Linked DNA regions of Drosophila melanogaster. The protein of the gene in region 2 interacts with the protein of the main gene of each other region in a biochemical or structural test. Each region holds a gene or a part of one and is shown on either strand. Other genes may lie near its edges.

Region 1 (7,594 bases), on a different chromosome or scaffold from region 2:
AAGTCTCCGGCCTCAAACTCCCCAAATCCACTGGTGTCATGCGAGTCCCGCTTTGATTGTTATTTAGGCCATTTGGCATAATGAGGCAGCATAATACTCACATAAAATCCAATTTAAGCGCATTTTTAGTGGCTAACTTTGGGCTTCCTGGTGGAAATGAAGGTTTCAAGAGCACACATTATTCACTTTCCCAAAGGAAGTGCTAAGCCCATATCTAGAATAATTAGTAATGTCTCAAAAAACGGATTTTAACGTCCATATATTTTATGCCATTTTAAATATACTAAAATCATATATCAGATAAAGATTTGGCGGATTATGTTTATAATTGGCATATTAAAATGCGCACGCAAAAACCTTTAAGTCGGTTACGGAAATTGCCAACACGAATTTCACCTGCCAGGATAACGACATTTGTGTCGATTCAACCAATGCTTTCACCCTCGGAAAAGCCATTTACATTTCCCTGCATGTGCAGCGCCCTAGAAGAGGGCAATTTACATCGAGTCACGCCCTTTCATTAAAGCTACTCATCAATTTGAAGTGCCAGGCGCTTCAGTCATTCAACAAGCTTAAGGGATTTATTCACCGCATGTATACATTCGCATATAAATGCTACATGTATGCATTTCATTTTTTTATTACATTTTATTTCATTTATTTGGCAGAGGCACTCGGCAAACAATAAATGTCAGCCGCCTGGTGATAGTAACACACTTTGCAATGACAGATACATTTGTATCTGGCAGATACGACGGCAAATACAGAACAAACGCGTCTATCATCTGGGTCGGATTCACCAAATAAACCCACGAGTTTTGTGGGTCATTTTCTTTGTACGAGTATATTATGAAACAGCACGAAGTTCTTCATCCACGGTCACGTTGTCATCTCTAGATTTCGATGGTGGCTTCATTATTTGTTTGTTTACTATGTTGCACTCGGCACGTACGGGAAATAAAGCAAAGGAAAATTGCATAAATGCCCGGGCAAAGTGTCCATTGTTCTCTGGGCCCTATCATCCTAAACTCTCCTCCCATCCTAAACTCTCCCACATCTCCTATATGTGATTTATGAAAGCTTTTTGCCCGACTGAAATTATATTTGAAACAACTTTTAGTCAACAGCTTATCAATAACAATAATAAAATCCGGAAAAACCCAGATGTGACTCTAGAAACTCATTTCACTCGTCAGCGAATCTTCAAGTTTTTTTTGTCTCTTTCAAGATCAAAAAAAAAAAAAAAACGAAACCAAAAAACTGCAGATAAGTTACGTAAAAAGTAGCCGCAATCTCAAGCTGAAACTAAGATACGGATACAGTATCTTTATCTTAATTCCCAGCTGTATCTTGTTACTGTATCTCAGAACTGTTGCTTTTCACAGCATTTTTGGTTTATATATTTCTTTCGCTTCCGCTGCTTATTTGTGGGAGAAAAACTCTTCTCCGATAGCTGTTGCATATATATATATATATATTTTTTTATAATTTTTTCATTTTTAATCATTATAATATGGTTTGTGCAGCCCAGACAGATAATGCCGAGACATTGACCTTTTTCGCAGATTTTTTGTTTGTCTCTGGCCTTTTCTATTCGCCTCGCTTCTGGGTTCTCGGTTCTTATGTCTGCTCTCTTTCTTTGTTGTCAGATTAGCCGGCCAAGTGGATAAACCAGTTTTTGCCTCCGCCACTCTTCTTGGCTTGATTCTTGGCCCTCAATCCTCACTCTTTTACCCATGTTCATGTTGCTTGACTTTGGCTAATTAGCCAAGAGTGGAAGTTGTTGTCATGATCCCTCGCCCCGCCTCGAATTTCGTAACGTTGAACTTAGGAAAATCTTGCCATGCAAACAAATTAGTTGAAGTGGCGAAAAAACGGTCTTCAATGCAGTAACGACATTTTTTTTATCACAAAACACAATATATTCATAAATTAAGTAGCACAACTCTGATATATATATTTATATATGTAGATGTATAAGCTAAATGTTTCATTCCTACTGTGTGTTTCATACCGAAGTATATAGTTTTAAAATTTTGTAAGTCCCCTTTTGTTAAACCCAAGCTAACGATTTCACAATAAAAATGGATGAGTCCCCTGAGCTTTACTCAGGTTTTCATGACTCACGTTATACCTTATGCTTTTCGCCTTCTTCGCTCTTTTTGCCCCAACAATGGACTTGCTTTGTGGAAATAAATAGGTAGAATCTGAATTTGTATATTTACATGAACATACATACATATATGAGTAGCTAACTTAAGTGTAAAAAAAGTACATTCACGGCTATATAGATTGTTATTAGAGTCGGTTGAGTTTGAAACCTTGGCACCTGCAAGTGAGAATATTGCTGAAAGCAAACACTCTGGGTCACAAGAAAATCATTCTGTCAATTCGCTTGGAGTGACAATAGCGAAATTAAATTAATTATGCAAAGCAACCCCATTTGTTTAATAACAAAATACACCCACAGCATAGTTAGGGAGGCGAGAAAACCCAAAGACAATTACCCAAAGTGTCTACTAAAATTATAAGAAACCCTCTGTGTTCCACCCTCAAAACGATACCCTTCCCCTTCCCCCTAATATCCTTCACTCGTCAATTATCCTGGCAAAGTACGTAATTATTTTTGTTGCTCGAAGGGTTCTGGGTGAAAATGTTAACTTTGTTTCCGCCTGATTGAGCACTTATTCCAATGTTATTGTCTATGCGTCATTTGCAGCACCCTCGGCTGTATTTCATTTTAAGCCCCGATTGTTGTGGTTTCTTCGGTTGCCAGTGAGTCAAGTGCAGAAAAAAAACACCAATGCTTTATGTATTTTTAAATTAAAATATTTAAAAAATTATATGAAATAGGAACGGAAACCATTTAGATTACATTGTTAATCAATGTTAGTTTTTCGAACTTACCATTTACGATGATGATGAAAATGATCGATACGAATACAATGTTGAAAGCACATTTTGATGACATTATTTGCGATGGGGATCCAACGTGGATGGCTGTCGACTAAACAGAACTAGCACCAAATTTCTGCTTGCTTTTGTTTTATTTTTTATTTTTTTTATTTCCGCGAAGGTCGTTGATTGGTCTTAATAATTTCCTTGTGGCAGTAGTTGGTTGCGTTATTGGGCGGCACCTCGCACTCCAATCTTCGCGGGTTTTTTAATCAGAGCTTTGCACTTTCCATGCCATTTACAAATTTAGCACTTTTTGCATGGGCCATAAAACTTCGCAGCACTTTTTCGCACGCACGAATTATTTTTGCTATTTGTTGCAACTTCTTTTCGAGCTCTTGTCACGTACACTTTTCTTATATTTTTATTTTTGTTTTATTCCAATATTTTCTCGTTAATAAATTAAAAGCGAAAATAAAAAAGAAAAATCTTCTTTTTTGATTGATTTTGTGTGTTTATTCACTGGATTGTTTATTTCTGAAGGCAGAAGAGCGAGACATTTTGATTGATTTAATATTATTAAAAATATACTATTTAAATATAAAAATAGGCAATTTTATTTGTTTTATTGTTTTTTTTATAATTATGTTTTTTACTATTTACGCTATATTCATAAGTTCGGTATGCGTTTTTTCTTGTTTAATAAGTTTATGAATAGTTGGAAAACCAAAACATTAGCAATACAAACAAACATAAAATCACAACAAAAACAGCTATTGGCCTTTGCACTCACACAGAGGCAATGAGCAAGCGCGGAGAGGAGAGCAAGAGAGGGAGATGCAACAGAGACGACAAAGAGCGACGGAAGACGGAAAAGGAGAGAGCGACAGCTGCGGCGCAAACGCAACAAAATGCATTAAATTAATTATTGTTGCTTTTAAAACGCTTGTTGTTGCTGGCACAAAAGAACAACAAATCGATTTGTTTACAATGCTGTTTCAAAATAATTAAACAGAAAAATGTTTTCGTGAATAGTATTATGTGTAGTTTAACTTCGCAATAGGGCTAATTTAACAATGTTTTTGCATGTTTACTTATTTTCGTGTGCCTCGTCTTGTACTTCTTTCATGCTCTCTCTTTTATGTTGCTTCTCGGATTGCCTCTCTACATTTCTCTCTCTCACTCTCGTTTGCTATGTGTTGCCAGTAAATTAAATGCGTTGAAATGCAGCCATTTTGTCTCCGCAATTGGCACTCACTTGAACTCCGGTCGAATTTTTTGTTTAGCCACAATTCTCAATTGGCCAGAATTGGGGGCATTTTCTTTGATTAGCGCACATTTCTTAAGCCTGACTTGACGATATATATTTATTTTTATTCGCTCACCCGCTCGCACATTAGCACACACACACACACGAACGCACGCACACATGCAAACGCACGAACACGCGTCCAGCGATTTTCCGACTCCCACGGCGTTCCGAGATCCGTTACAAAGAGTTACGCGTCCAACTCGCTTGGTGGTTTTTTTTAAACTACCCGATTTCTCACCACATATACAAATGTACTTCAGTCTTAGAGTGACCAGTATCATAAAAAGAGATAATCTTTCTAATGCGTTAGTTTTCGTGTGCGTTAATACTGATATTGACGAGAGATGATACAATGACTCATCGTATTCACTATAGTATATTAATAATAGTTAGATTCATTAAATAAAACTTATTTAGGCAACAGCACTTACTTTTCAGCTAATTAAACATATTTAAACATTATTGATACTTACGCATAAGGTATACAGCAAATACAAATGTTATTTATGTTATTTAAATTAAGCTATTGCAAAATAATATTTTAAACTCTAAAGAGAATTTGTTTAATTGAATTAAAATTAAAATCATTTTGTTTTGTGAGCTTGTGTACTTCTTCGTTCATTTACATAAATTTTTTTTTGAACACTTAAATTCAAAAAAGGCGCCAAAATTACTTTATTTTGCAGCCCTCGTCCACTTCAACGAAAATATTTTTACGCCTGGTGGCAACCTTTATCATATGGAACCAGTGTTGCCACATTTGATATTTTAGATTTATAATGAAAACTATTAGAAATTTGATATATTTAACAAATAAGCTGTTTACATCAGAAGCTTGTTTTGTTGCTATGCTAATAAGCTGGATAGGGCCATTTGCTATGGTTATCTACTGATTTAAATTTGCCTATCGCTTACTGTGATAATTTGAGTATACGTTAAAATACAACCATTTTGAATCGCGCGCTCATTATTAACATGCTCGGATTTTTTAGTGATAAACTCGTTAAGACGCTCTGAGTTGTGTCACCTGGCAACACTTCGTCAGATGCTCATCGAGTGTTGCTGCGGGTGGACGTGCTCGCTTTCTCTGTCCGTTACCGTTACCTCGTGTCTGCGTTCACGTATCCGTGTGTCTGTCCGCGTTCCCCGTCCGTGTGTGGGTGTAGGTGCGAATGTGTGTGTGCCTTTGGTCGCGTGTCGTCGCCGCTTTCATGTAAACGAAGATTGTGCAAAAGGTAAACGCCAAACGGTGGCAACAACAGTAAATGATAAACAGAAGCGAAACAACTAGCAAGCGCAGCAACAACCACAACAACACAAACAGCAAAGAAGCAAGCAAACAAAACTTGTGAAATACTTTTTGTTTATTTTTTTTTTATTTTGGCCTGGTCTGGTGGCAAGTGGCAAAAGCTATAAAAAACGATTCTCGAAAACAGGTTTCCTGCGTGAGCGAGAGAGAGAGAGAGAGAGACCGAAGCGTTTACTGCAAACTAGAAGCTCAACTGCTGCCGCACAGTGGTCACTACAGTTCTAAGCTTGCCCCACTGTGCGCCCAGAACTTGTTTTCTTCTTCTTTTCATTCGATTCCCCTCCCCACTCCTTCGTTCCAACTGCAGCTAACTACTCCTTTCATCGGGCGTTTTAGAATGCATATTTGGTTTATGGGAAGCTCACATGCAGCGCCCCCCGAAATCAATACGGAAAACGGTTTTTCCCGAAAGAGCCGTTACTTTTCGGGAAAATCCCCATTCCACGGCACCTCGGCTCTGCCACAAAAATCAGCTGGCTCGGCAGTCGGCGCAGCTCTGCCGGCGTCGGCAGTGGAGGGACTGCGTCGGGCGCCTAGCAACAGAGGTTAAACCTCTGACTACAGGGACGGTTCACGCTTGGGCGGTCAAAATCTCGGGGAGCAACACGTTACATAAGGTGGCTGAAAGTTTGTCAACCTCAAGTTTGGTTACTTGTGTGTCTAGGCATTATGTGATTGTTAAAATCACGTGGCTTATACAATTGTGGTTGAATATCTTATAGTTTGCATTGTTTTTAAATTTTTTGAAAGTTCTTATAGCAGAATATTCTCTTAACCAGAAGATGAATAAAACAAAATAGTAAAAGTCCAAAAACGCTAAAGAGCTTGATTTTTTATGATACCTTACTTGAAACTTCCGAGATTAGCTTTTTGCCCCTCCCCGATGTTGAAGGACTTCGGTCCTGGTCCCTACCGCCGTCAGCTGTGCGCTCAGTGCGCAGGCGCCACACACACACACACACAGATGTGCCAGCCACAGGCAGCAGGAAGCAGGCAGAAGAAGAAGAAGAAACAGCAGGAGCAGCAGAGGAGGAAAAAGCGGACCAGCCTGCTGGTTAACTGCCTGACTTTGGCCCGCAAAATTGCATTGCTGGCGTCTCGCTCGCACGCACTTACTTCGGCAGTAATGCCGGAAAATGGGAAAATGTGAATGTGAATCGATGGTGGAGGAGGGCGGGCGGTGAACAGCGCGATGTGGGCCGAAGTTCGCAGTCGGCAGTCGGCAGTCGGCTTTACATAAGTTGACGTCCGTGGCAGGCGGTCTGCTCCTGGAATTTCAGTGCCCGGCTGCAGGTCCTTTGCTCAGGTTGTGTAGACGCGCTTTTCAGTTTTTCCGGTGGATCAGCTGCTGGCGCTTTGCAACTGGTTCGGATTTTCCTTAATTTTCTCTGCGCTACCCCTACTTACTTTTGATTTGTAAAGTTTTCTTTACTATTTTTGTATTATTTTTGGTTTTATTTTTTAATTGGTTCTGCCCCTGCAAACCGGCTGCAAATGGCCAAAAGGTTCGTCGACAGTTTTGTGTTTTTTCAGCTGTTCGGCTGGTGGAAGGCAAAAAAAAAAAAATAAAAAGTGGTTAGACCTCTTTTTTTTATTACACTTTAATTTGGATTTTTTGCCATTATTTATCTCATTTCTCAACTATTGCTATTTGCCGCCTGCGTGGGCCACTTTCAAAAGCTTTTTTTCGGGGCTTCCGTCGATTAGTTTTGGCTTTATTTATTTATTTATTCCGTATTCGACGAATCATAAAGCCAAAAAAACTTGATTTGTGCGCACGGCCAGCAGTAAATCAATTTAACAATATTAAATCGCTCGTAAAACCGTTTGAAAAAAAAAAACGTCTAAACGAATTTATTCCTACATATATATCCATATATACATATAACCATGCAGACGAAGTGTTAATCGACAAACAACAACAGCAACAACGCCGGAGAAAACAACATGTGAGAGGCGGCTCAAAAAGTTAATTTAGCCAGTCGAAAAGATGGCCGCCAGGATGTGCAGCATCGCTTCCATCGTCATCATCTAGATTTTAGATGCAGCAACAGCAGCAGCAGCAGCACTCACAGATA
Region 2 (7,674 bases):
GAGGCTCTCCCAGAGCAAAAACTTGTTTTCAACGGCGCTTTGAAGAGGAGCATAAATATGCGCAAAAAAGCACAGAATAAGAAGCAGGCAAAATGAATTAATAGACAATCAAGCCAAACGATGCGTCTGAATTAATAAAAGAAATACAATAAAAAAGGGAAAGAGAAAGAGGGAGAAAAACCATTGAGTGGAAGGAAGGTTAGAAAGGTGGGAGGCGGCGGGCAGGGGGGCGTGTCCAGTGGAAAGCCAAACTAAACTAGACTATAAACAACAAAATGGGACAAACGAAAAGCGCACACACAAACAAAGGCGCAGAAGTTGACACAACATATACAACACAAAAAAAGCAAGACAAAACAACAAGCAAATCAATTTGCATAACACCAAACAAACATTCACACACACTCTAAAGATGGTGGGAAGCACAAGCAAAACAAAACAAAAAGTGCAATCGTTAAAACCACAATAGTTTTGTCCACCATTTGACACCAATTTTGGTTATAGTTTCTCACACTGTTTTAAAGTCCCTCCAAGTATGCGGTTAGTATTAGCAAGCTCTTAAAGGGACAAGTAGTAGATAATATGATGAATTAGCATTTAAAAAACATAACTTTCGTTCTAATAACGTAAAATATATAATATATTTCTCTTTGATCTAACTTTTCCGACTGTTTTTATCGTAATTCCAAAATGTTGAATGCTCAGTTACACCTTGCACAATCCGCCTCATAACTTTGGCATATGTACACTGGTAATGGTTCTCCTTCCGCTTTTTGTTTGCCTTTGCCTTCAACTATGAACTCCACAGCGGCTGAATAACCGAAAGGTAAAACTTGTGGGGGGGATCTACGAGGGGGTTTCGCCAGGTGGAACTTGAAAGCTGGAGCTGCCAACCTCTCAAATGGAAGACAGACACTTGTTAAAGTGTTAGAAAATAGTGCGTTGCATTGTTTACCTTTTGCTTGAGCCATTCTTTGTCTCCGTTTCTCGTTTTCTTTCTCTTTACTGGCCACTACTCCTATTTTTACTGCGATCACTGAGGCTTGAAGCGACTAGTTAGTTAGTTCTTCGTTTCTTTTCATTTTTTGCCATTTCCACGTCAACTTGCCTTGACTGACAGACAGTTGTTGTAGAAAAAAAAGCAGGGAAGAAGTTAAAACAACACAAGGGGACATAAAAATGTATGAAAGCACGCATTTTTATTATAATTTTCCCCGACTTTTCCTCGACTTTCCTACAGGTGTTTGCTTTGGTGCCCCTACCCTGCATGTTGTTTATTAATCATTTAAATTCATCATCATAATCAACCGTTAACAACGGGCTTGGGAAACAGTTACAAGCGCAAGTGAATCATCCATCGCATTGTGTGGGAGTAGTCGTCGTCTTCCTCTTTGGCTTCTAAATTGCAATTAATTATGTTATGCGAAGAAAGAGCAGAGCCGAGAAGACTACGAGTGCTCCCCCACGAGTCCCAGTCTTCATTCATTCATTCATTCATTCACTCACTCGCTCACTCACTCACTTCTTCGACGCTCAATGTTAATATGAAAATTGCATAAATGCGAAAACAAGGCGACTACGGTTATTTGATAGTTAAATTGAAATTTAAACGCAGCATGGGACAAGAAAGGGCCAAGAAATTGTGAGAATAATACCTTATAGAATGGGCAGAAAATTGAATTAAATTGCATTGCTAATGGCAAGCTAATTGCCCGAGATATTATTTTAAATGACAAATTAAACTATTCCACCTTTCCCTGTAAGTAAGTAAGGAAATGAGTCAGAATTATTGGGCAGATGTTTCTGCCTACATACGGGGAGCATTTTCAGCAGTCCCAAGACCCCAGGAGGTTGGCGTCGAGACACTTTTTTGGGACGTTGTTAAAATTAGCGACTAAATAGCAGACTGCAAAAAGAAGCTGGTCGAAGAGTGAAGTTTAAGCACGCAACGTGCCAAAGTTGGGAGAAAATCAAGAAGTGCGGAGAGCGGTAGAGGATTGGAGCACATGCAGGGTGCACGGTGAGTAAATGGGTACTATTATCAATAAAGAGCTCCCTATCAGCTTAATATTGTGGATCTAAGTTGTAATTTCTTCGTAGCTAAATAGTTCTGAACTATGAAATGTATACTATGTACACATACTATGTATGGTCAAGATTTATTATAATTTAATATTTTCTTATCTTTGAAACTAACCCACACATTAACAACAAAATATTTAGTGTTATTTTCTAGAGATCGCACTGTTTGGAAACCCTGCACAACTCTTTTTTTTATCCGTGTAACCAGGGGATGCTGGCGTTAAAGATCAATGAAAGCATGACAGAAGAGAAACAACGCAAGGAGGGGAGAGCAAGTGAGGCTGAGCATGTGTCGCGTTGACCTACGCAGAGCGAAAAGTAAACCGAAAAAAATCGCATGTAAAAAGCGCATGCAAAGCGGAGGGACAGAGGAGGAGATGACGGCGAAAACGGCAGATGTTGCCCAGCATCATCAACTTTTTAGCATGGGCTTGTAGCACAGCATTACTATATAGCCTCATATTGAAATCGAGCAGTTTTATCATTTTTTGCTGCTGCTCTGGATGCATACGCCGTTGGTGGTAAATTTTGACGTTGAGGCAGACTTGGATCATCTCTGTTTTTACACGGAGAACAATTAGTACACATAGTAGGATTTCTAAGAAGTTGAACTGATCTGCATGTCAAAAATTATCTTGAAGGTATTTCTTCTAACGTATGCCTCATATTTTTCCGCTGTGTACTAGAATTAAACCATTTTTTGGGGATGGACCTGTTTGGGCATTGGCCTCGCATGTTTCCAAACTAGTTTTGCTCTATGAAATATGTATGCATGTTCCGAAAAGGGTGATACGATCCGATCCACAATTTCCACCCCTAAAAGCCAACCCGCTTAAAATATCAACTCAGCTGTTTCTACCCAAAAGTTCTCGGGTTACCAGCTTGAAAAATAAGTTTGGAAGCAAACGCGATGTTGGAGTGGTTTCAAAATAGATATTTTGAGATGATCATACGGAACCCCAAAAGTTTTAAAATATTTAGTAACCTGGCAACCCTTCAATCGTTTCTTCCCTTTTGGCCCCACACACACACATGCGCGCACAACACACCAGCTGCAAAATTCAGCGGTGAGTGCACGCGTGCGCGTAGAAATAAAGAAAATAAATTGCCAAAAAATACAACTTGTTGGATGGAAAATGAGCGCTTTTCCTGGGACTGAAACTCACCTGCACGATGACTGTGAAGCAAATGAATGCTGTTAATAAACATTTAATCCAATGCATGTTTATTGATGTTTTTGTTGCTGATTTTTTGGATTGAGTGTCGCTTTTAGTGTAATAATCCACGGGCTGTGTGTGTGTGTGTGTGTGTGCGGCAACTACTCAAATTGTTTATTGTGTTTATGTTTTGAATTTTTTTTTTGGTTACTTGTCGCACATGGTTTTGCAATTCGCTTTTAGCATTTTCGTTGTTTTCTTGTTGTCGTTGTTGCAAGCTACACGTGCACGCGCCACATTTTTTGTTGCAATTTCCTCGACTGTGTTTATTTTTAAGTGTCGCGAAATAAAAGCTCTTTTCGCGAACTGCGGAGTCTTCTCCTTTTCACGCAGAAAAGCGCAAAAGGGAAAAGCGAGAGAGGGAACTAACGGTGCCGCGATTCTTAATCATTCGCGATTTTTTAATCTTTCGGAGGAAACACTTCTTGTTATTCTGTTAGAAGATCTTTTATTTTGATTTCTGGTTCTGGCACTTTTCTTTTGGTACATTCAAATATCGAATGAGAACTGCCCAGAGTCGCGGTAATCTGCAATTCTTAAGTGAACTATTGCATTGGCAGTTCGCGTCACACACCGAATATTTGGTCGCGTTTCGAGTCGGGGACTTGTGTTTTTCAAAATGCCTTGGCTGCGGAGCTGCCTTTTTCGAGTTATTCGCGCGGCCGAGTTGAAAAACGTAATGCCGTTCATGTCCACGACCAAAACACTATTCACCTTCACCGCCGCGAATCGTACTAAAAAATACCACGAAACGTACTCGCTCTCTCATTTCTCTCTTTCGCTCTCAAAACGAGTTCCGTGGCAAAATTAGTGCATTTCAGCAGATGCAATGCAACAAACCGTTTTGAATAAATAGTCAACTTACACATTTTAAAAACTATTTAAAATTTCAATATACATTACCAAGTTTATTTTGATATAAGAATTTATTATATTGTTTAACTTCAACCGGACGGGTGTTTATTTGTACAAATTTCCAAGATTGTCTCTAAATAATCTTCAAAATTCGGATTTTTTATTTCTAGATATTCTACTTTTATTTTTATATCTAAAATAAAACAAATCAATTCAATTCGTTTACGTTAGCAACATTTGATTCCCCGTTTTGCTAGCAGTTTCAGATACCAGTTGGATACCGGCTTGTAAGCATTTCGTTAGCAACATTTGATTCCCGGTTCGCTCAATTTACCGATTCAGCTCACGCGAAAGTTGAAAGCAAAATGCTTAGCAACATTTATTGTTGCCAAGATGAGAACCAAAAATAAAATTAAAGATGGATATTTGTATTTAATATAAATATTTGAATTTTATTATATTGGGTGCTTATAACTTATTGAATTGGCATGCAAGTATATCTCCATCATCTTCATTAGCAGGTACGTCATCAGTCTTAGGGTCTTGGTATTTATATTCCACCAAACTGCCGATCCAAGCATCCAATGTCGTTAGTATGATCAAAATCGAATGAGTTTCACTTCGCTAAAAACAACTTCTGCTGAAGACGTTTTCAGAGACGGAAAATGCATCATCATATGAATTTTTTTGGCTCTGATAACTTCTCCAGGACTGTCGCTCTTATGGAGGTGAAACTCCTTCGAGTTTGGGCATACTAAATTCATTGAAAGAGGATCCATAAACTACATATTAATTGTCCAAGCTGCTCGGTGGAAATTGCTGAAGATACCATCTAGCTAAAGGTTTGGAATCTCATTAAATATGATCAGAATGTACAAATATTTACAAGCCTCTGCCTCAAAGATCCATTGGCTCGGAAATACCATCTTGTGATAACATCTTCACTGCGTTGCATATGTTTGCTCCACAATAACCAAATGAACTAGAATCTCTATTGAAATAAACGATAAATAACTATATAACCAAACAATATTTCAAAATCAATAAATTTTGTTCTAAGCATTTTGTGTAATAGTAATAATTTTTAATACTTGCATTTATTTTCAACGAATATTAAAAAAAATAAAAATAAAATTTTTTTTTTGAATCCAAATATTTTCTAGTTGATATAGGACTGCCGACGATGCCGAATCGAGCTAAACTAAATATTTTTATGAAAATAGATTGAATATGATGTGTTCGCCTACTACGATTTCATTTTGGCTTTACAATTTTAAATAGCTGGCCTGATTTTCCAATTTGTACTTCCATTCTATTCTGTAAAAATCTTAAGGTAAAAATGCTAAGTCTGTACACCTATTTATTTTATTATTATTCCTAACAAATCATTAGATTCTTCGGTGGTCTCTGGATCCAAACTTTCGTTAAAAATTGATCCAATTACTTAACGAAAAGAGCAAGATTAATTTGATTCGATTTTTTGATCAAACATTGTAAATCACTCGAAAACAGCAGTTCATTGAAATGGTCTGATAAATGGGTCAGCAAGGCAAAGGGCTGAGAATAACATGGCCAGAACTCTCTTCACGCGAAATAAAGTTGTTGAAATTTGTACAATAAAAATCGGTCTTCATTAATTTGCATCGAACGAGGGACATTTGCATATGCATGAGACCAGGAGGAGACCAGACAGGAGACCCCAGAAAACGAAACCAATCAAGTCAACACCCAATTTTACAAGGAAATGCGGACCAAGACCCCGAATTTCTCCTGTCCGACTATAAAGTTCCCGCCGCGATTCCTTTTACAGTGAAGTTTCTTTAAAAGTGATCAGAAAATATATGCAATTCCTTCATTATTTGAAAAAAGAAACAAGTATTAATTTTAAAATAATAATTTTAGTTTGGCATATTTTAATAATAGTTTTATAATATGTATTTATATGTATTTTATCATTGACTTTTATTAAAAATAAGTAAATATTTAAAGTGTTACTATGTTTAAGTATTATCTTTTTAGAAACTACAGCTTACTCTCTTATTTCTAAATTCGTGTAGTTTATTTTGCAGACATTACTTTAATCTTCAAAGCCAATTCACTATAAAGATGTCCAACTGTAATGGCAATATTTAAACAAACATATATTTCGCGCAATAAATTTGACAGTAAAGTACTCGCACCGGGAGTTTTCAAGCCATGAGAAGAGTGAAAAGTTTTTAAATTAAACACAAATTTATGATCAAACAACGGCAACGGCGAAGTGAAAAAAATGAAAAGGAGCAGTGAGAAGAAAAACCTGCAGGCTGTGGGGCAAAGTCAAACGGCAGCCTCTCGATCGCCGGAGCGCGCCGTTTAACCCCCCGAAGCCCCTTAAGGCCCCTTTAGCCCCTTGATCCCCTTTAGCCACCCTCCCGACTTTTAAAGCCAAGTTAGCACCTGTAAACCGGTTGGCTGTCGGCAGGTAACCGCGTGGAGCTGGGAGCTCCAACTCCGAAAAACAGATGTCCTGCTGCTCCAAATTGAAAGCGCAACATACATCATCCATCCTTTTTGCGTGCACCCTTCTGCAACCCCCCCCCCCCTGTTAGCCGCTCGGCGGGTCCCTTAACCCGTCGAAGGGCGCCGTGCAGTTTGAATAATAAGGCAGCAACAACAAAGAAATTGGGGTCATGTACTTGGCCAAGTCCACCAGACAGGCAACATCTTTCACTTTGCAGCCTCTTCTGCGCATCCTCGCACCGCCCCTCCATTTACCCTCCGATCTACACGTATTTTATGCATATTTTTTGGCCAAGAGATAGCGTTTTTTTTTTCTTGGCCCTCTGTGGAGGCTGCAAAACTTGAAAATTAGTCGCGTGGCTTGTGATAATCGGTGGATCCGAGAGGGGGCCTTTAAGATCTGGAGGCGGGACATGCTCTTCATATCGGGTGGAGCGTGTGTCGCTCATGATCTGTTTATAGTTCAGATGGATGATGTAATGATCAATTGCAACCTGTTTCCAATATTTCTCCGGTGGCATGTGTCGTTTAATTGCTGAACTTGTTATCGAAAGGGCTTCAAAAATAAACAAGGCAAGAATGTGTGGGTCTCTTGATGATATGAAAGCATTAATGAAAGCAAACAACATTCGTTTAATGAAACAAGCTTTGGAAACTTGCAATTCACACTTACATTTCCCTTTTATCTTTCAACGAAGAAAACGCGAGTTTTGCCAGTTTATGTAATTTAGTATTTAGGGGTATTACTTACTACCATTATTACTTACTTGCAACCTCGACATCTTCGAATCATTCATCAATCAAAACCTCTATAAAATATATTTATAACTCATTTTTGCAGTAGGCTTGCTTTTCTGTACCATTTTTTTGTTTAAATAATACCATTTACCAAAAATGTTGAGTATCACTTTCTTTTATTTATTTTGTATCATATCCAAATAAAACATAATTTCAGATGAAAGATCTCGACTTTTCCTTGGCAGGTGCGGTCCGGGAAAAATTCCCATCCGTTTTTTCCCAC
Region 3 (10,019 bases), on a different chromosome or scaffold from region 2:
ATCTACCACGTATATATAGCTCACACACACACACATGCACCAATTGATAGCCTGCCCCAGACAGTGGAATTTTACAATTACGCTTTGGCCGTCCGTTCGCTTCGTTTTATTTCTCGATGCAAATGGGTTTCCCTTTGATATTCACCTCGCTATTTATCGCTCTCTCTTTCGCTCTGTTGCACTTTCGCCTCTCTGTTTTAGTAAATTTAAAACTTTTCAACGAATTTCAATAAAAAACACTTTCTTTCTTTCCTTCGCTCTTGTTTTTGGTTGCGCTCATTCTTTTACTTCTTTATCCGCGTCTGCTTTTCGCACACAGCTTCGCAGCGTTTTATTTATAAACGCCCACACAGACACAGCACTCACACACACTCTCGCACGCACACTAGCTCGGCCGCTGGTGTTTTCGTTATTTCGTCTCGTTATTTATTTATTTTTTTTATTTTTTGCCATTAATTAATCGCGCAAAATAACAAAACGCGTGTGTACGTCGAAAAAAAGTAACAGGAATAGCGCAAAAAACAAAACGTGTGATTAGTGTGACCGCGGTGGATGCGAGACTTATTACCAAGTGCAAAGAAAAAGTGGTAACATTTCGTGTTTACCTTAGAATCACAGGTTGAAGAAAGGCTTGATTATAAGTTAATTACTTACAAGGAGAATGTAGAATTCTATAAAAGGAGCTTGTTTTGAACTACATAATTATTTTCATAGATTTCCAAATTCGATAATCAAAGGTCATACTATCTGGTGCAATTTGGGCTGCCAACTGTGGTCAAGTTAATCTATAAAATTCTTGATTCAAAATGCAATTTTAAGAACATTTTATTTCAAATTATATCAAATCAGATAAAAAACAAATGTCCATGAAATGATTAGGTTAGTTAAGGATATTTTCAATCAAAACACTATAAGAAATAGGACAAGGGAAGCCAAACATAAAATAAAGCCAAATTTAACTATAAACTAGCTTAAACGGCAGTGCAAACAGTTCATCTGGTCTGGCAACTCTCCGCCGAATTGTTGTTACGCGAGCGATTTCTTTGGTCTTATTTCTAGTTAAAATTATCAAAGAAATATTATAAAATGTTGGCCGTACGAAGTTCCCAGAGATTGGGCCTACGGTAGGCCACCCGTCTAATTTGAAATAACCAAAAGAAATCCGTCACTCGACTATTTATTTTTCAGTTCCCTGCTACCGTCTGCCTTCAAAAACGTGGGATTGGTCAACTACTCCTCTTCGCAGTCCAAAAACGACGATGGATACTCCTCTTCGGACGACGAAAAGCCCACGAAGAAGAAGGAGGAACCTGTGGAAACGGCGGCCCAGCGGCTGAACCGCCTGTTGGGCACCATGCAGGCCACGGATCAGCTCTCGGCATCGGACTTTCCACGTCCTGGTGATGCCAACAGGAAGCGGAGGGAGGCCCAGAAACAGGAGGCAGCCGCCAAGAATGTTCTAACTGCGGCCAAGAACATTGCTAGCATGCTGGGCACCAGTGAGAGCGACAAGAAGCAGACAGAGTCTGAGCTATTGGCCAAACTCCTTGGCCATGGAAGCGAGTCCTCTTCAGCAGCGACCGGAGAAAATCAGACGGCGGATGTTTCGGGATCTCCTTCTGGTGATAAGGAACTCAATCTGAGGTGTGTAAAAATGATTTTCTCGCATTAATGGATAATCTAATAAAATTTATTTTCCTTACACAACAGTGATATTATCGTGGGCATGAAGATCGATCGTCGTCAGCAGCCGCAGCAGGTGGAGCAGACCCGCGGCGAGTACGTTCGCCGCTCGCTGGCTTCCAGATTCAAGCCACAGAATCGAGATGGGGCTTATCAGCGGTCACAGAGGCAAACCAAACGAGAGGCTGAATCCTTTACGGGCAGTGTCAATTTGTACGGCGGGGAACCGTTGGGTATCTTCAAGGATACCCAGCTGCCGATTTCCAACGACATCCTTTCAACCTGGTCACAGCTGAGTGAGCGGGAGCTTAGTTTACAAGCTTCCCATCCCCCGGCAAACTACTTCGAGCAAATGGTCCTGTGGACGGATCAAAAGAAGGTGTGGCGCTTTCCCATCAACAATGAGCAGGATTGGGAGGACGAGCATAACGTGGACTTCTCGGAACACATTTTTCTGGAACAACATCTCGAGGATTGGTGTCCTAGCAAGGGGCCTATTCGCCATTTCATGGAGCTCGTCTGCGTCGGCTTGTCCAAGAATCCCTACTTGACTGCCCAGGAGAAGAAGGATCACATTTTCTGGTTCCGTGACTATTTCCAGGCCAAGAAGGACATTCTGAGGGATCTGATTAGCAAGGAGCCAAGCAAAAGTATTTCTGCTTAATGTTTTTGTTTGAATATTTGTTAAAAATATATTTTTGCTTTATAAGACCAATCCGATATATAGTTATATATATGATATTGTGTGTGTATATATGTGTGTATAAGAATGTGAGTCCTTTAAATATCCTAATACTTCGAAGGCTGTGCAGACTGTGCGCGGAATGTGTGAACCGGGAACGGGCTTCAGAAGAGCAGGATGCGTTTTTCCACGGTCTTGCGGCAAATGGGACACCCCTCAATCTGGTCGCCACACATCTGGCACGTGCCGTGGCCACATAGGAAGACCATGTTCTTTATGCGGTCAAAGCAGACAGGACACATAGTCTATAAGATAAATTTGAGGATCAGTCACTGAACATATTTTCAATCTTATTTGAGCTCACCTGTTCCTTGATGTCCTGCAACTGCTGCTTCAACTTTTGGACATCATCCATCTGGAAGTTGTTGACATTGGAAGGAGCCACCATCGCGTTTCCAGCTGCTGACAGATTCGAGACATTCGAAGAGGCTGCTGCAGCGGCCAGGAGATTATTCTGGCTATTCAACTGATTGCTGCTGCCCGCCACTGGAGTAACCACGGTGTTGTTCATGGCCACGCTATGGCCGGAGGCATTGGCACAAGCTGCCGCTGCTGCAGCTTCCATGAAACGATCGTCGGGCAGTGGCAAGCCCACTGTTGCCATCGCTCCAGCTGCCACGGACACCTTCTCCGGTCGTCCACTACCTCCGCAGCAAAGGCTGAACGATAATATCTCATCGATTTGCGTGCGACACAGGACGCACTTTTTCATCAAAGCACTGCAGTGCTCACATGCGACCATATGGCCACAGGGGCGGAAGAAGACGGCTGCCCTGCGATCCGAGCACACCAGACACTCGTCGATCTTTTCGCGCGAGGAGACGGTCTCCCGACAGATGAGGCATTTCTTCACCCTCGGAGCGCAGGTCTCGCAGCAACTGACATGGCCACAGGGCTTAAAGACCGTATCCCGCTTGGCATCCGAGCAAACCAAACACTCATCAAGACTGGCTGACGATTTCGGAGGATCCTCGTGCAGGGACTGGCTCATTTCGTTGGCGATGCCGTTGAGGGCAAATATGGAAGATGATGAGGCAGCTGGGAAAGTGGATGAGGCAGCTAGGCTGGAAAGCGGCATATTGACTGAGGAGGACTGATTTAAGCTACCACTGGCTGCTCTTGCCCTGGCACTCGAACTCGTTCCAGCTACATTTCCGGGCAACTCAGAGTCGTCGGTCTTCCTTTCGTTGTAGCACTTGACCAGGGTCTTGCAGAGATTGGGATCTGGGCACAGGTCCAGTGGGGTCTGCTGCTTGCGATTCTTTAAGGTCAAATCAGCTCCATTGGCAGCCAAGAAGCATGCAATCGAAGCAGAGGCCTTCTTGTTATTAGCATTTCTCAGGCCCATCAAGAGCTTACCAAATCCTTCCACATCTTGCAGTTGCTTCAGCTGCGACAGAGTGTGATGTCGCAACGCTTCATGCAGCGGAGTATCCCCGTCTTTGTCGGGTATGTTAAGATCTGCCCCATCCTGCACCAGCAGCTTGACGATTTGCACATGCTGACGCTCCACCGCAAGATGCAAAGCCGTCTGGAGATTCACATTTTGCCTATCCATATTGGCCTTACCCATATGCACTAGTAGCTCAGCAATTTCAACGTGGTTGTTAAGTGCTGCCAAGTGCAGAGCTGTGTAGCCATCATCCTTCTTCTCTTCCACAATCCAAGGACGGTTCGTCTTGGTCAGCAGGATCTTCATGGCACTAGGATTACCCTTGAGAGCAGCATGATGCAATGCATTGAATCCATTATTGTTGTTTAGCGTGATGTCGGCCCCGAAGTCCAGCAACAGGGACAGCATCTCGTCGTGCTCCTTAGATATGGCATCGTGTAGGGGTGTATCGCCCTCGGAATCTTGCAAACTAGGATGGCAACCTAGCGTTAGAAGCGTCTTCACTACGTTCAAATGGCCCTTATTGACAGCAATGTGCAGAGACGTCTGCCTGCGCTTATTGCGCGCATTTAAGTCTGCCCCGGCTTTGGCCAATATCTCAATCACCGCCGCCTCATCACCAAAGGCGGCATGGTGGACAGCGCGATCTCCGTCCTTGTCCTCAATTTCTACGTCGACGGCGTGCCGGAGTAGTACCTGTATCACCTCAATATGGCCATTCTGGCTGGCTGCTTGCAGAGCAGTATGTCCGGCAAACACACCATTCACATTGACATCCGGTCCAGAACTGGGCGAGGCACTGGAGGTCGAGGGTTGAGCTGCGCCAGCCAAGTACTCCTCACAACGTGCCTGGAAATGCGGTTCAATTTATTTGATATCAAGTGCTAAACGTATTTTCTTGTACTTACTGCAAATCCATTGGCTGCTGCCTTGACAAATTCCTCAGTGGCATCGCCGGAGACATTTGGTTCGAACAGTTTTTTGAGAATGGCCGAAAGACGTTCACTACTCGGGATAACTGGAGCGCAGCTCCCATCGGAGGCAGTTGAAGAAGCCACCTTGCAAACGGCCAGCGGATTGTAGGTCCACGAAGTATTGCCCACCTCCACTTTAAGGTCGTTATCATGATAGACCTGTTGCACGCGGCCGATCTTTCCCAGAGTCAATTGCATGGCGTCAGCCCACTCGCCGTGTCCTCGCTGCAAAATCTTGATGCTCTCCACATCGGAACAGATCTTGACAATGTCGCCCACCTGAAACTCGGGCGGAGCAGTGGTTGGCGAGGATACTTTTGTAAGGACAGCTGGATTGAAAGTCCAGCGATTGCCGGAATTGTAGGCCACCACAATGTCGTGATCCTCATCGATGCCCACGACCATTCCTGCGTTGCTTAGGCACTCGAACATGCCATCGGTCCAGCCGCCATGTCCATGCTGCAGAGACTGAACGATTTCTAGATCTAGATCCACTGTAACCTTGTCGCCAATCTGAAAGCCATGCGGTCCTTTTCCGGGTCCGTTTTCGCCCAATAGTGGCAGATGATCCCGGTAAACATTACTACCCTTGGCATCGTTAACGACCTTAAGATCTGCCATGCCCTCAAATCCAACGCGGTACAGATTCTTGGAGCCATTGTCCCAAATCACGTAGGCTGCCGATCTTGGCGAGGCCGAAGACCAGTCCTGGATCTCGTTGACCTTGCCACGCCGACCAACGCCTCCGTCCTGATCCTCCCACTGCCAATCCACGCCGCGAACGACACGAGCTCCCGGAAAGATGCCTCTGGCGAGCACTTTCTTGGACTTACGACGCGGTTCCAGCATGGTTCGTTCACCTCCCGGCGTGGTGATCCTGTAGAAACGGTGCCTCAGATGATGTTTATCTCCGTGGTAGCAGATGGAGCACAAATCGTAATTAATGCACTCGGCACACTTCCAGCGGATGCCAAAGATCGGTTGCTGGCGGCAAGTGTCGCACATGGTGCCCTCGTGCTTTACTCCAGTGGGTGCACTGTCCAGGATGCGCAGATCATAGGCTCCGGCGCAGCGATAGTTGGCAGCTGTTCCATTGTCCCAGACCACGACCACCTCCTCGGCGGATTCGAAATTGCGAACGGTGCCCACGTGTCCTTCGCCGCCGTCCTGAAGAGAATCGAAACGAAAAAATATTATATTTGTAGTGACTCAGTCCATCTTTCGATTTTCCATTTCGTAACCCACGCTGATTAGGATGCGAAAGCTATAGCCGAAGTGCATAATAGCAACTAACTAAGTGTTAAGGTAGGTAGTCGCTACAAATTCGTTTGGCTATCTCTAAATGCGATCAACGAGTCGTAAAATAAATAAATATAAATAAAGGGAATGAGGGTTTGCTTAACCTCCATTTCTATGTAATAGGGTTCTATTTGTTCAGCGATTGCAAGCAGCTCATTGAAAAAATTTCGGTTTAACATTTTATAACTTATTTGAACTAATATTTTGCTAAACAACTAATACTGTTAATACTTGAATGTTGAAATGCTGCAGCATATTGTAAATCCACTTAAATTTTTATCTGCATTATGATTAGTCAAATAATGCCACTGATTATGGGCTTGGATATTTCATCATGCTGGTAAATCTTCATCGAATCAGTTAAAGAAATTGTGTGCGGAAATGTCTATACTTTAATCTTGCCTTTTTTGTATCTTTCTGCACTTTCAAATCGTTTTTCCGGGCTAAAGCAAACAGACTTTCAAAGCTTGCATCAGAGTTATGATGTATGTATGAGATATGACTCACAAGCCATTTGTTAAGACATAATTAGCCAGCCAAAGGTTACACATATTAAATGTAAATGTAAGCTTGGGAAAAGAAGAATTGAGTACACGAATAATTTAAAGTGTTAACTGAACATGCTCAAAATATACATACGCTATCATTTTTGAGTAAATTGAAATACTTTTTGGTCGTGCACTTTGATCTCACTTAAATTGCAATGCTATCAATGTAACAACGATAAATATTTAAATCTATGAACTGGATTTTCTCAGTGCACCGAAGTAGGACTTTATACCCACTTTCTAGGATCACATGTGTCCCCATTGGGATTCTGGTTAGTAATGCGAAAAGAGAAACTTGACTAGTTTGGCCAGATGTCAAGAATCGAGTTGAGGTGTGCAATTAAATTAATTGATCGGTCAATTGAGAACGGGGAGAGTTCTTTTTTCACTGGAAGTTAAAGCAAAACCAGCTGGGACACCCCCTTCACCCTGCCCACCTGTTTGTTCCATTTCCAGTCCGGTCCGCGGATCACCCTGGCACCCACGCCCTCCATGGAGAATCTTCGGACGAGGGCCGCTGCCGAATTGCCGCCGCCGCCCGCTGCAACGCCACCGGCGGCTGAGGCGGAGGACGAGGAGGTGGTGCCACCGGGAAGGGAACCACCCCCACCTCCTCCCCCACCAACACCAACACCTGTGCCTGCTGCACTGCTCACTACCACACCCACAGCTGTGGACTGTGTGTTGGTGTTAGTGTTGGTATTGCTGTTTGTCGGTGCTCCTCCTCCTCCACCACCACCACCACCACCACTGGCATTTGCATTGGTGGAGTCCTTGGCCGACGAGAGGGTGGCCGCACAAGACATTTTACCACTCCGCAAGGTCGCTGGGCGGGTGGACTTCGCTTTCCACGGTATACTGCACTCTTTCGTTGGGTAATTCACGTTTAAAATCGGAGTCGCTGCTAAACACTCACGGAATTTTTACAACCACCGAAGAATGTGACCGTAGTCGCGCAAGCGATAGATCTCATGCGGTGCGATAGATTAACAGTGTGACGTTACGCAGGAAATTTCAAGTGCAGTTGCTGAACTCTGGTCACTCTATGCCGCACAGTGGAAAAAGTGCGAAGAGTTGCCGCAAAAATGTAGCGATTGAATGTTACCAATATAACGGTTTCTAACATTTGTAGTTTCTACACGATATTTTACTTTACAGCTAATGTAGATACACGAGTAAAACTACTTTAGTTTAGTAAACTACTTAAGCTACTTAATCGTAATTTTGACTACAAAAATATGCTCCTATTTGTTTTCATAAACAATTCTGCAAGGATTTATAACAACTCTATTTAACTATATTCAACATTTAACAGACAGCCCTCTTATAAATAACGTTCCGATTTTGATGATAACTAACTTAAATTTTTTCTGTGAAAATAAGATTGAGTTGACTTTCAGTTTTATTTTATAATATTATTGGGATGGGTGTCTAAGCTTACCTTAGTTTAACGAAAATCATTTCATCCATCAGAAAACTAGAGCCGCGTTTGGTAATTAAAATCCTTGCTGCCTAAACAGCATGTATAATTGCCACCGTAAAGTATCAATCACAGATTTGAGTAATTTCCAAGCGTCCCCCATTGGCCGCAACTAATCAGTTTAATGGCCCGAAATGGCCGGACTCAAATGATCTGTTAGCGGGCGAGATGAAAGGCCGGCACGGACAATAGTGAAAAGTGTCCTCGTACATCAGAGACATCAGCAGACACGCTTCTTCACTATGGGCCTAATTGCTTTAAAATAAGCCACACCCACGGTGCCCGAAAATCCATCTTGCACGCACATTACGAGCCCATCGATCGACCGTTAGGCGGCAAGTGACTGCATCTCGGACCTTTTCCTTTTGGTGGAGGAGGAGGATTGAGCGTGCGGGCGGCCGGCGGCTTTGATCTTAAGGATCAGAGCGGTATAGGTATGGATATGGCATAGTATATGGATATGGTGTATTGTAGGGTATGGAGTGGTGGTATAGTGCGGTGTGCGGGGCACGCTTGTCAATTGTGGTTGGCTTCAAAAGCGGCTTACTTAGCCCCATGTCCCGATACCAATACCGTTTTCAATCCCAATCCCAGTCCCAATCGCAGTCCAAGTCGCTGTCCCAGTTCCCCGGGCGAATGAAGTGTGTAATTTGAAATTAGCTCAGGCTCAGCGGCACCTTTTGAGCCCGGCCGACTTGACTTGGTGCACCTGCTGCTGGCGGAGATTGTGATGCTGATGCCGTTGCTGATGGTGGTGATGGTGGTGTTGGTGATGACGGTGATGGTGCCATGGCGATGGTGACGGTGCGGCTGTCCTGCGGCGGCTACTTAGTTACGCAGTCGCACCGCAGCGTCAAGGCCACATACCGTCGTCCCCCGCATCTCGTCCAGCTCAGTTTGATGCACAAAGAAAAATAAGTAATGCATTCGGCTTTGCAATTATGTAAACTATCAAAAATTATTTATTTTTTACACATATATAATAGTTTTACATTCATTATTCAGGTTGAATAATAATACACCATAATATCCATTGAAATATCCTATAATTAAAACTTTTTCCGTATAGTTCCCTATAAAAAAAACGTTATATAGGCGGCATTAAAGTAAAATATATTGATTAATTTCTGTATATTTTTAATTAACCAGTAGATTTAAGCAATTTTTAATCTTCTCTAATTTTTATCTAATTTATTTTAGATATTATAAAAATACGCGCAATGATATGTCAAAAGCACCAAATGTTTCGTACAGTGCATCATTTCATTTTCGATTTCAACTCCATTCAGCAAATGAGTGCCACAGAGATACATACATATATACGCAAATTTATGGCCGCGCATATCTGTATGTACACTTATAATGTGACTAATTTGCGATCTCTCGATTTTCCAAATCCCAGACTCATCCAATCTGGGCTTCAATCTTCTATGCGTGCATTAAGTAGTCGAGTGGGTTTGGTGGAGGGGGTGCTAATCAGGTTTCTGGCCCCAAATTGATTTCATTTTCATATTTCAATTTCGAAAGACGGTAGCCGGAGGTCTGTCGAAAATGCAAAATCAGTAAGACCAGTAGTCGCGACATGATATAAATTAACTGTTTTGACTTTGTGAAATGAAATGCCGGCCTCCTTTGAAATGCAAAAGGCCGCAAACGCGAGAAGGCGAAAATATTGAAAATAACAGCCAAATCGATTTCTGGCTAAAAAAAAAAAAAAGAAAATAAAAAAATTCGAGAAAAACAAAATAAAATACCATTCAAAGTGGCTGCGAGTTGTTTTTATCTCGTTAGAGTTGCCAGCGCGCCGATTTCTTTTCGACTTAAATGGTTTATGTGCGTTTGCAACCAGTTTTATGGACATCGCCTCCGCAGCCTGGCGGAGCGGCCTGATTATATATCG
Region 4 (7,679 bases), about 10 Mb from region 2:
CGGCTATCGGCGATCGATGTGAAGAGCCGGGGAATTCTCAGCTGTCTTCCCATCGACAGCTGCCAATTTCTTGTATCTTTTCGTTTATTTTCTTGCACTTCGTCTTTTTTCATTAAATAAATCATACTATCAGTGCTGATCACTACAAACTACTTCCCCACACTTATCTTTGGCCCACTTGAGCTATTTCCTCTATTTAAATTAGTTTTGGCATTAGATTTCTCTATAAATATTGTTTAATTTCGATTTTGTTGAGTTGGAAACTATTTCGTTGTGTTTATAAATATATCTATGAGTTAAATTTATCTATTAACAGGCAAAGGTAGTAACTCGATCGTAATGGAGGTAGTTATGATAAGAGACCTATGGATATGATATATGTATGTATGGAAATTTGTGTAACTCGTATTTTTATCTTCACATTTTATTAGGTCTTATGGTATGTGATTTTCTTATCTTTTGAAGTGGAACTTCTAGAAATCATAAAGAACGTTATGTGTGAGGTTTTTTATTGATCACCTTTTCGAAAAGATTAATTATAAATTTCTTTGCATATATATATTTTTAAGAGCATATAATAGTTTAAATACTAGTTCTAGAACGAGACAAATTTAAAATTCTAAACCCCTTTCCCTTACTTGTTTTCCCTGAATCTGCTCACTTGCCGTGCAAAATGATCGTTTGGCATATTCATTAAATGCCTGCCTAGGTCAATTCTCCATAGACGAAGATTTCGAAAAGCCACAGGAATCTTAGGTTAAGGAACTGTCTGAAAGGTAAATCGCTGTGACATTCTCGAGACAATGGTCGAAAAAAGACAATTGTGAGGCCAGAGGGTAATGCGGGACTAAGAAGAAACCAGCAAAAACCGAACTATGATCCATATATCTATATATGTACGTATTCTTAAGCCAGATGTTCGTGGGAGACCGAAATGGAGAGATAAAAATTGCACCGCCGGACTTGTGGGGGCACATGTGCCAAATTCTAAATTTAACCACAAAATACTTTAAGAGGAGCAAAAAAGAAAATACAGAAAATAAAACAGCAGACTGCAGTTATCTCCCCCATCAAGGCGACAAATGCAAATGGAAGCAGCTGTCTGCTGGCAAAATATGAATATATAAAAATAAATAATCGTACAAGAAGTTCCAATCGATCCGCAGAAGTAGAGCACATCCTTATCAGCCAAGGCAACTGGCGCACGTCTCTTCTTTTTTTCGATTTTAACCTGGCACGTGGTCGGCTGGCTGGCTTCCTCTTTCTCCGCTTCGAAAATCCCTCTTCACCGTGTATCTGTGTATCTTTTGCTATGAATTTACACCTGGAATTGGCAAGCAAACAGAACGAAACCAATGGCAGGGGCTGCGCGGGGAAACGCACTACAGTAGAGCAAACCCTTTTCGGATCCTTTTTCCAACTGCAACCGCAGATGGACACCTTTCGTTGGTGATCATGATGGGTACAGTGGATATCGATAAGCGAAAAACTATGATACGCAATTATAATACATAAGTATTCATACATTTAAAAGAAAAAAAAGAAATGGTATCCTAAAAATAAGGTTGGTTTAGGGCTTGAAATAATATTGCAAGGATATTTACTCTGCATTTTTAATATTTCTACTTAACCTAAAGTCGATAAAAAATATTTCTATCCAATGATCACTGTATTCTTTGACAATTTTTGGGGTTGTTCGTTGGTCTCGATGTCTGCCGGTTCCTGTTTCGCCAACATCACCTTCTCCGACCTTTTTTGCATTTTTGCAAACTGAGCGAACAGGAGGGGGAAATCGGGTAAGCAGCAGCAGATGTATTTCCAGGACGCACGCCTGCTGCCAGGATGCTGAATATGCATTTCCACTTTAATATCAAAATTTAAATGCTTTCTGCCCCGTCTTGATCCCTTCCGATCTTGAAAATTGCATCTGCTGTGAGGTCTGCCCGGTTCCGTCTGTCGATGCAGGACAAAAAGGACGAGGATGAGGATAAGGAGCGCTCGGCGCAATTATCATCCTCCATCAATGGCAGCGTGGCATCCATAAAGGATAAAGGATGATCAGACGCCAGACGGCAGTTATCCTGCTGACCACAATGCTAAAGCTTAGCAAATGAGACCACAATAGCATGTGTCCCAGATCATAGGTACATTTTTTTAAATTCTGTGTAAGCTAATGGTTTCAAAACTGGGAATTGAGTTACAAACTTTCCATTTCATTTTATAATCTTTATAGTGCAAACTTAAAAAATCAAAACAAAAACAAATCTCGTTTCATATTCTCTATTAAAATAAATTGCACATACAAAATGGACAATTAAATGTGCCGAAAACAATTGGGAAAAGAAGAAATTTATTATTATTATCAAGAAACGTTTGGGAATTTTTTTTAATTCCCATGGAATTACTCCATACATACTCCAACTGAGTACATACATACACACATATGTATGTACGTGTGATATTTGGCCCACAAAGTTCACGATCAAAAGCATTAGGGCAATTGAAATAGTTTTCTAGTTATATGAGCCAGACCTTGTAAACCCTGCGAAAAAGAAAAAGAATTGCTTTGAACCTGGCTGAACTACACACACACTAAGGTGAGGAGAATAACTGTTAGTGAAGATCAGAGCACTATGGCCAAAATCCCAAATGCAGGCCTAGAGCAACAACAACAAGAAGCAGGAAGAGCAACAGCAGGAGAAGATGTGGAGGAATCCCTGATCAAGGTGCAGAGTTAGAGGCATAAAGGTAAATTATAAGGGAGGCTCTATACACGCGAATAGCAGGCACAAAGCGAAACCATAGTAAATAAGAAACAGCTGCCAGAGAGAGAAAGAGAGCGATGGCGTCTCATAATTTTCTCTCTTGAGCTCTCTTTTTCGCTCCATCCACGCTCAGGGCTGACAGCCCTTAGCCAGAAAATGGATAAATTTTAAATTATTTGAATAGATTGCTTACAAATTATAAGTTTAAATAAATTGAAGCATTTTTAATGTAATTTAGTTACCGTTTCTTGATTTTAATTAAATTGTAAAACAGGAAATGTTATTCAAATCTACAGCCCAAATTGTCACTAAACGTTAATAGTAATTATAAAAAACTTAAATTTCCAAATATGTCTTACTGGCATACCTAAACTTCTAAATATCTTGAAAACATATACTAAAAAAAGCCAAATCTGACGGGAGAATTTCTGCGCGCCAGTACTATCCGTTACTCTCCAGCTGAGCTGCGTCAGCGACGTCGCGCTGGTGCGAAGCTATAAAAGGCTGCACCACCGTTTATTTGTTGAAAAAAAACTCAGCGAAAGGTTGTCTCGAAGTTGTCGTCGTCGGTCTTTGTGTTTCGTATCGTTTCGTTTCGTTTGTTCCCGTTGCGCGCAGACAAACAACCAACCAAATTCAAAATGTTTTAACGGAAAACATTCAAATTCGAAGAAGAACTCTATCGCTTAATTTAATGCCAAATAAAATACGCAAGCAGCTTGTGCATTTTCATTAGCATTACGCGTGTTCGTTTAGTTCGTCTGTTTTAATTTAAATAACGAAATAAGAAATAATCCACTACCATGGGTCTATCGGATATACCAGCCAACTATATGCAGGGCAGCCATCCGCACCTAACTCTCCATCCGCAGCAGCAGCACCACCAGAATCAGCAGCACTTGCAGCATCTGCAACAGATGCAGCAGCTGCACAACGCCATGCCCACTCCCGCCCAGCAGGCCGCCCAGGTCCTGGCCATGGAGTCCAACGAGCTGCTCATGAGCACCAAGGACAAGCTCTCTAGCAAGAAGAAAATGCACTTGCTCAAGAAGATCAAGAAGCGCTTTGGATTGGGTTAGTAGTCGCATTAGTACCAGGCTAAGAATCGGGCTAAGGATATCGATGGATATATTAACAAGAATATTCAGTTAATTTCCAAGTCGTTTTTCAAAGGACGTACAATTCTCGGAATATCCAGGAATAATTTTTAAAATCAGTGTGATTGGGTTCTAAAGTAGATGTAGTACATTTTAACAATATAAAACTTCCTTCGTGATATCTGACCATTAAAGTCTTGAAGCAAATGTAATTACCGCGTGCGAAAATGCCTTAAATACATTATTCATCGATCTGGGAATCGTATTTTTATCTCCAGCGATATTCCCACATAATATTAGCATGTGGTCTGACCTATCGCTCTTTCATTCATTCGGTTAATTAAAGCGGCAAGATAAATAAGCGAGAAACACAGCCAGCCGCAATCATTTATGCATACATTAGCATTTTACGTCTCAAGAACAATAACAAATAACGAAAGATAAGAGCAAAAACCGAAAAAGTTTGAGTTAGTTTAAAACAAAAAGCTAATGAATAAATGCTCACCCAGAACACGCCCAGTTTGCGATTATAATAGTAATTGTTTTTTTCCGACTAGATAGACACAAAAGAAGCGCGAAAAAATCTTAAATGTGAAATTCTCTCAAGGCTTTTTCGGCAGAATTTAACATCGACACTCCGACTTTTTCGCCGGAAATGTCAGTTCTCGAAAACTGAATTTTTCAATCGCACCCAAGTAACCGCAAATTGATCGAGAAGACCAGATCGGAGGGATCTTGAGTTGAAGAAAATACCACCAAAAGCAATTTTCCCAAGGAGCGATTATGTTTATCATAACGATTATCTGGGCTGGGGAATTTGTTGCGCTGTTTTTGTTTTGGTTGCAAGCAGCTGAGCTAAGGAAAGACAAAAAAAAAGAAGTAAAAACAACAAATCACCTTTTTTTTTTGACTTTGGCTCAATTGCATTCTCGGCTTCAATGCTCTCTTTTTTGGCCAAAGCAGGCGAAGCAAAAGCAAAGCAAAGCCAGTGACGCATAGGCTAAGCTTCTACCCCTTTTTTTTTTATTTTTACTGGCCTCCTACGAACAATTGTGGTCGCACAACTAGCAGTCGAATATCAACGAACGACGCAATATGAATAATAAAAAAAAGTTATTAATTTAGTCCTTCAGCACTGGAATAGTTTTATTTGTCAAAAGTGGCTATGCAAAATATTGTACTGTATTTAAGAGATTCCATTTTTCCCGCCACCACTGTTTTTGCATCTGCCTCATTCAGTATTGCTTGTTGTTGTTGCTGTTGCCTTTCGGGGAATTGTACGCGAAGCGCCGTTGCCGCCATCGGCAAAAGCAAAAACAAAGGTAGCAACAACAGAAAAGCAAACGATCCACGGCAGGAGAAGAAGAGAAGAGCCATGGACTAGCGGGATGAGAAGAGGAAGAGGCGTGGCTTTGAAGCTTGAGTGTGTTTGGAGTTTTTATTTTTCTGCTGAGCGCTTAAGCCCGCAATGGTTTATGTTTTATGCGGCGGCTCCAGTCCGTTTGTTTTGAACGTGCGTTGCCTATCGGTAATCAATGAAATTGCTTTGTTGTTGTTTTGCTCGGCGTCAGCTGCTTTTGCTTTTTTGTACCTGCATTTTCTATTACATTTCGTACCTTGTTTGTTGTTGTTATTATTATTGTGTGTTGGCATGCCACGTTTGCTTTGGCTAAAAAGTTTATCTGCTCTTGGCTTTTACTTAGCTTCTCACGGTTTACTTTTCGAAATGGTTTGCTTGGCCGTGCGTGTGCTTGCAACTGAGCACTGCCAACTCGTCTTTGAGACCCCGATTATGGGACACACAAATACAAATTGTCGCCCGACCTTCGATTGTTGGCCAAAAGTAAATAGTCAATTGTTAATGACGGTACGCACCCCCCAAGGAAGTTTGTACATATAAGTACATATCTAAGTACAATGTTGGTCACCATAAATATACATACATTAACTTCTGAGACCTAAAATGTTATTCTATTAAGTTCAAAATATGTAAGTCGCCGCTTAAAAACAAATTTCTGTAAACATAATGTTTAAGAGACATTTTGCTAATATTGCTTCAATATTAACATATTATTGTTGATTTCCCAGTAAGCCATTTTCTGTTGAGCACAGTTGTATGCTGAGCATTTTCGCTACATACATCTGTTGCTATATTTTTCCACTTTCATGCATCCCCTTCGTTATTTTTTCACTTATTTTTCTCCCCCTCATGAGGTCATCATCTCGATGTGTCATTCTGAAGTTTGCGTATAGTTATTGTAGTATAGTATAGTTCATATAGCTGATATGAAGCACTGCTTAATTTCGCGCTTTGATAACGGACACTGCGAAATGTTATCTCTACAAGTGTAAACGTTTTGCAACTGATTAACTATAAATACCAGTTGTTAACTATTGGGGATATACACAAAGATGCTTGTGCTAACTTTGCTAGCTTTTTTCTAAAGAGCTAGCTATCTTGTGACCTATTTAGTGCCTCCCACATCTTTCGCTTATCAGTTATTGAACTAAGTTGGTAGCTTGAAGACGAGTACAGTGAACATCGGTTAACAAATCTTTTCGATTTATCTCACAATTCTAACCTAGTGTATAACTAAATGAAAATTGAAAATGAAAAGTATATTATAACCATTGTCTGTATCGCCTTAGTTCTCCTCACGACCCAAATGTGTAGTACAAAATTGTTAACATTTTGTCTGTGCCGAAAGATAAAAACGCACACCACCCCATAGATAAAGAAAAAATCTAAGTAGATACGCTACACCGCAGGGTGTTGCAACTGACGCAAGACAAAAGGTGGAGTTCAGGTAGCTACAGGTAGAAACATATAATATAGCAATACCACATAGCACATAGTATATACCTGGCCAAGAAATCAGCTGCAATTAACTCACGCAAAGTGAGACGAAAAGATATCCAAAGGCATCTTTGGGTCAATTTTGTAGGCCTTTCGGGAGGGCGTGTTTTCCAGACGGGTTAGGGCGGGCGATGTGCTGGTTGCTAGGCATAAATCACCGTCGGTATATCTACTCGGTTCGAACACCTACGGGTATTTAATCTATGCCTGCCTCTATGTCCAGCAGCAGCAGCTGTTCGGCTATCCATCGCTAGCAACTTGGCCAGATCGAGTTTTTTGGATTTTGGTTTTTGGCCTTTAGCGTTTGTGGCCCGAAATTCGGGCAGAACTTTAATGTAATTAATATGTACACCTATTTTGGGAGGAACCAAAACTAGATTGGTTTTAGCTTTGCATCTGTTCGGGGTATTTAATATGTTAAAATCTTCGAAATTTGCATGGTTTGGCTATAACACTAAGTTTTAATGAGATGGCCGATAACAATGCAACCGGTGGCATCAAAAACTATCGAATTCCGCAGTCCAAAACACTTGAATTGTCTGTGTCAGCCATTGTAATAACAGCGTTATAATGTAATAATGATGTGTTCCTATCACAAGACGACTCTTCGAGTCCATTCCATTCCACTCAGCGCAACTTCAAGCTGTTATTGTGGGCTCCCCCTCAACGCTCGAGTGATTTAATTACACAAAGAGTTGGCAGACTGTAGAGAATCGCGGGGGTGGGTGTCTTGTGCAGTCAAGTGCGAGGAAATGCAAGTTGTATGGTAGTAACTATCAACTTTTCTATATTGTACTCGTATATATGTTTTTCTGTACATTTATGTAGACCCCACCACTGGCCCTTTGCAGTAATTGCAACGCTTCGATAAACAGCAAGCCTACAAAGCGCAACAAAACGTAGCGGAAGAAAGCCGGGCTTATCGTATCTGAGCTCTCGAAAGTACAGTACTGCAACGAA

Evidence for each region.
Region 1: of the proteins of Delta (region 2) and kuz, one has a biochemical effect on the other in vitro, tested with the Drosophila melanogaster proteins (one study listed by BioGRID).
Region 3: of the proteins of Delta (region 2) and mib1, one has a biochemical effect on the other in vitro, tested with the Drosophila melanogaster proteins (one study listed by BioGRID).
Region 4: of the proteins of Delta (region 2) and neur, one has a biochemical effect on the other in vitro, tested with the Drosophila melanogaster proteins (one study listed by BioGRID).

What each region holds. Positions count from the first base shown.
Region 1 is NT_033779.5:13,546,980-13,554,573, reverse strand, and holds the start of kuz (kuzbanian), read right to left. Parts: upstream 4,436-7,594; 5' UTR 4,281-4,435; exon of another isoform or gene 4,154-4,280; intron 3,433-4,153; 5' UTR 2,972-3,432; coding exon 2,908-2,971; intron 1-2,907.
Region 2 is NT_033777.3:19,322,234-19,329,907, forward strand, and holds the start of Delta (delta), read right to left. Parts: upstream 3,985-7,674; 5' UTR 3,306-3,984; coding exon 3,249-3,305; intron 1-3,248. UniProt on the Drosophila melanogaster protein: Acts as a ligand for Notch (N) receptor. Essential for proper differentiation of ectoderm. Delta is required for the correct separation of neural and epidermal cell lineages.
Region 3 is NT_037436.4:16,004,204-16,014,222, forward strand, and holds mib1 (mind bomb 1), read right to left. Parts: upstream 7,610-10,019; 5' UTR 7,446-7,609; coding exon 7,077-7,445; intron 6,107-7,076; exon of another isoform or gene 6,074-6,106; coding exon of another isoform or gene 6,038-6,073; intron 5,960-6,037; coding exon 4,727-5,959; intron 4,668-4,726; coding exon 2,730-4,667; intron 2,671-2,729; coding exon 2,530-2,670; 3' UTR 2,349-2,529; downstream 1-2,348. Other genes in the region: mRpS31 (mitochondrial ribosomal protein S31), read left to right, coding at 1,087-1,124, 1,189-1,644, 1,711-2,347. UniProt on the Drosophila melanogaster protein: E3 ubiquitin-protein ligase that mediates ubiquitination of Delta (Dl) and Serrate (Ser) receptors, which act as ligands of Notch proteins.
Region 4 is NT_033777.3:9,029,339-9,037,017, reverse strand, and holds the start of neur (neuralized), read left to right. Parts: upstream 1-3,286; 5' UTR 3,287-3,568; coding exon 3,569-3,839; intron 3,840-7,679. UniProt on the Drosophila melanogaster protein: Involved in neurogenesis. Interacts with other neurogenic proteins in the specification of the neuroblast versus epidermoblast cell fate.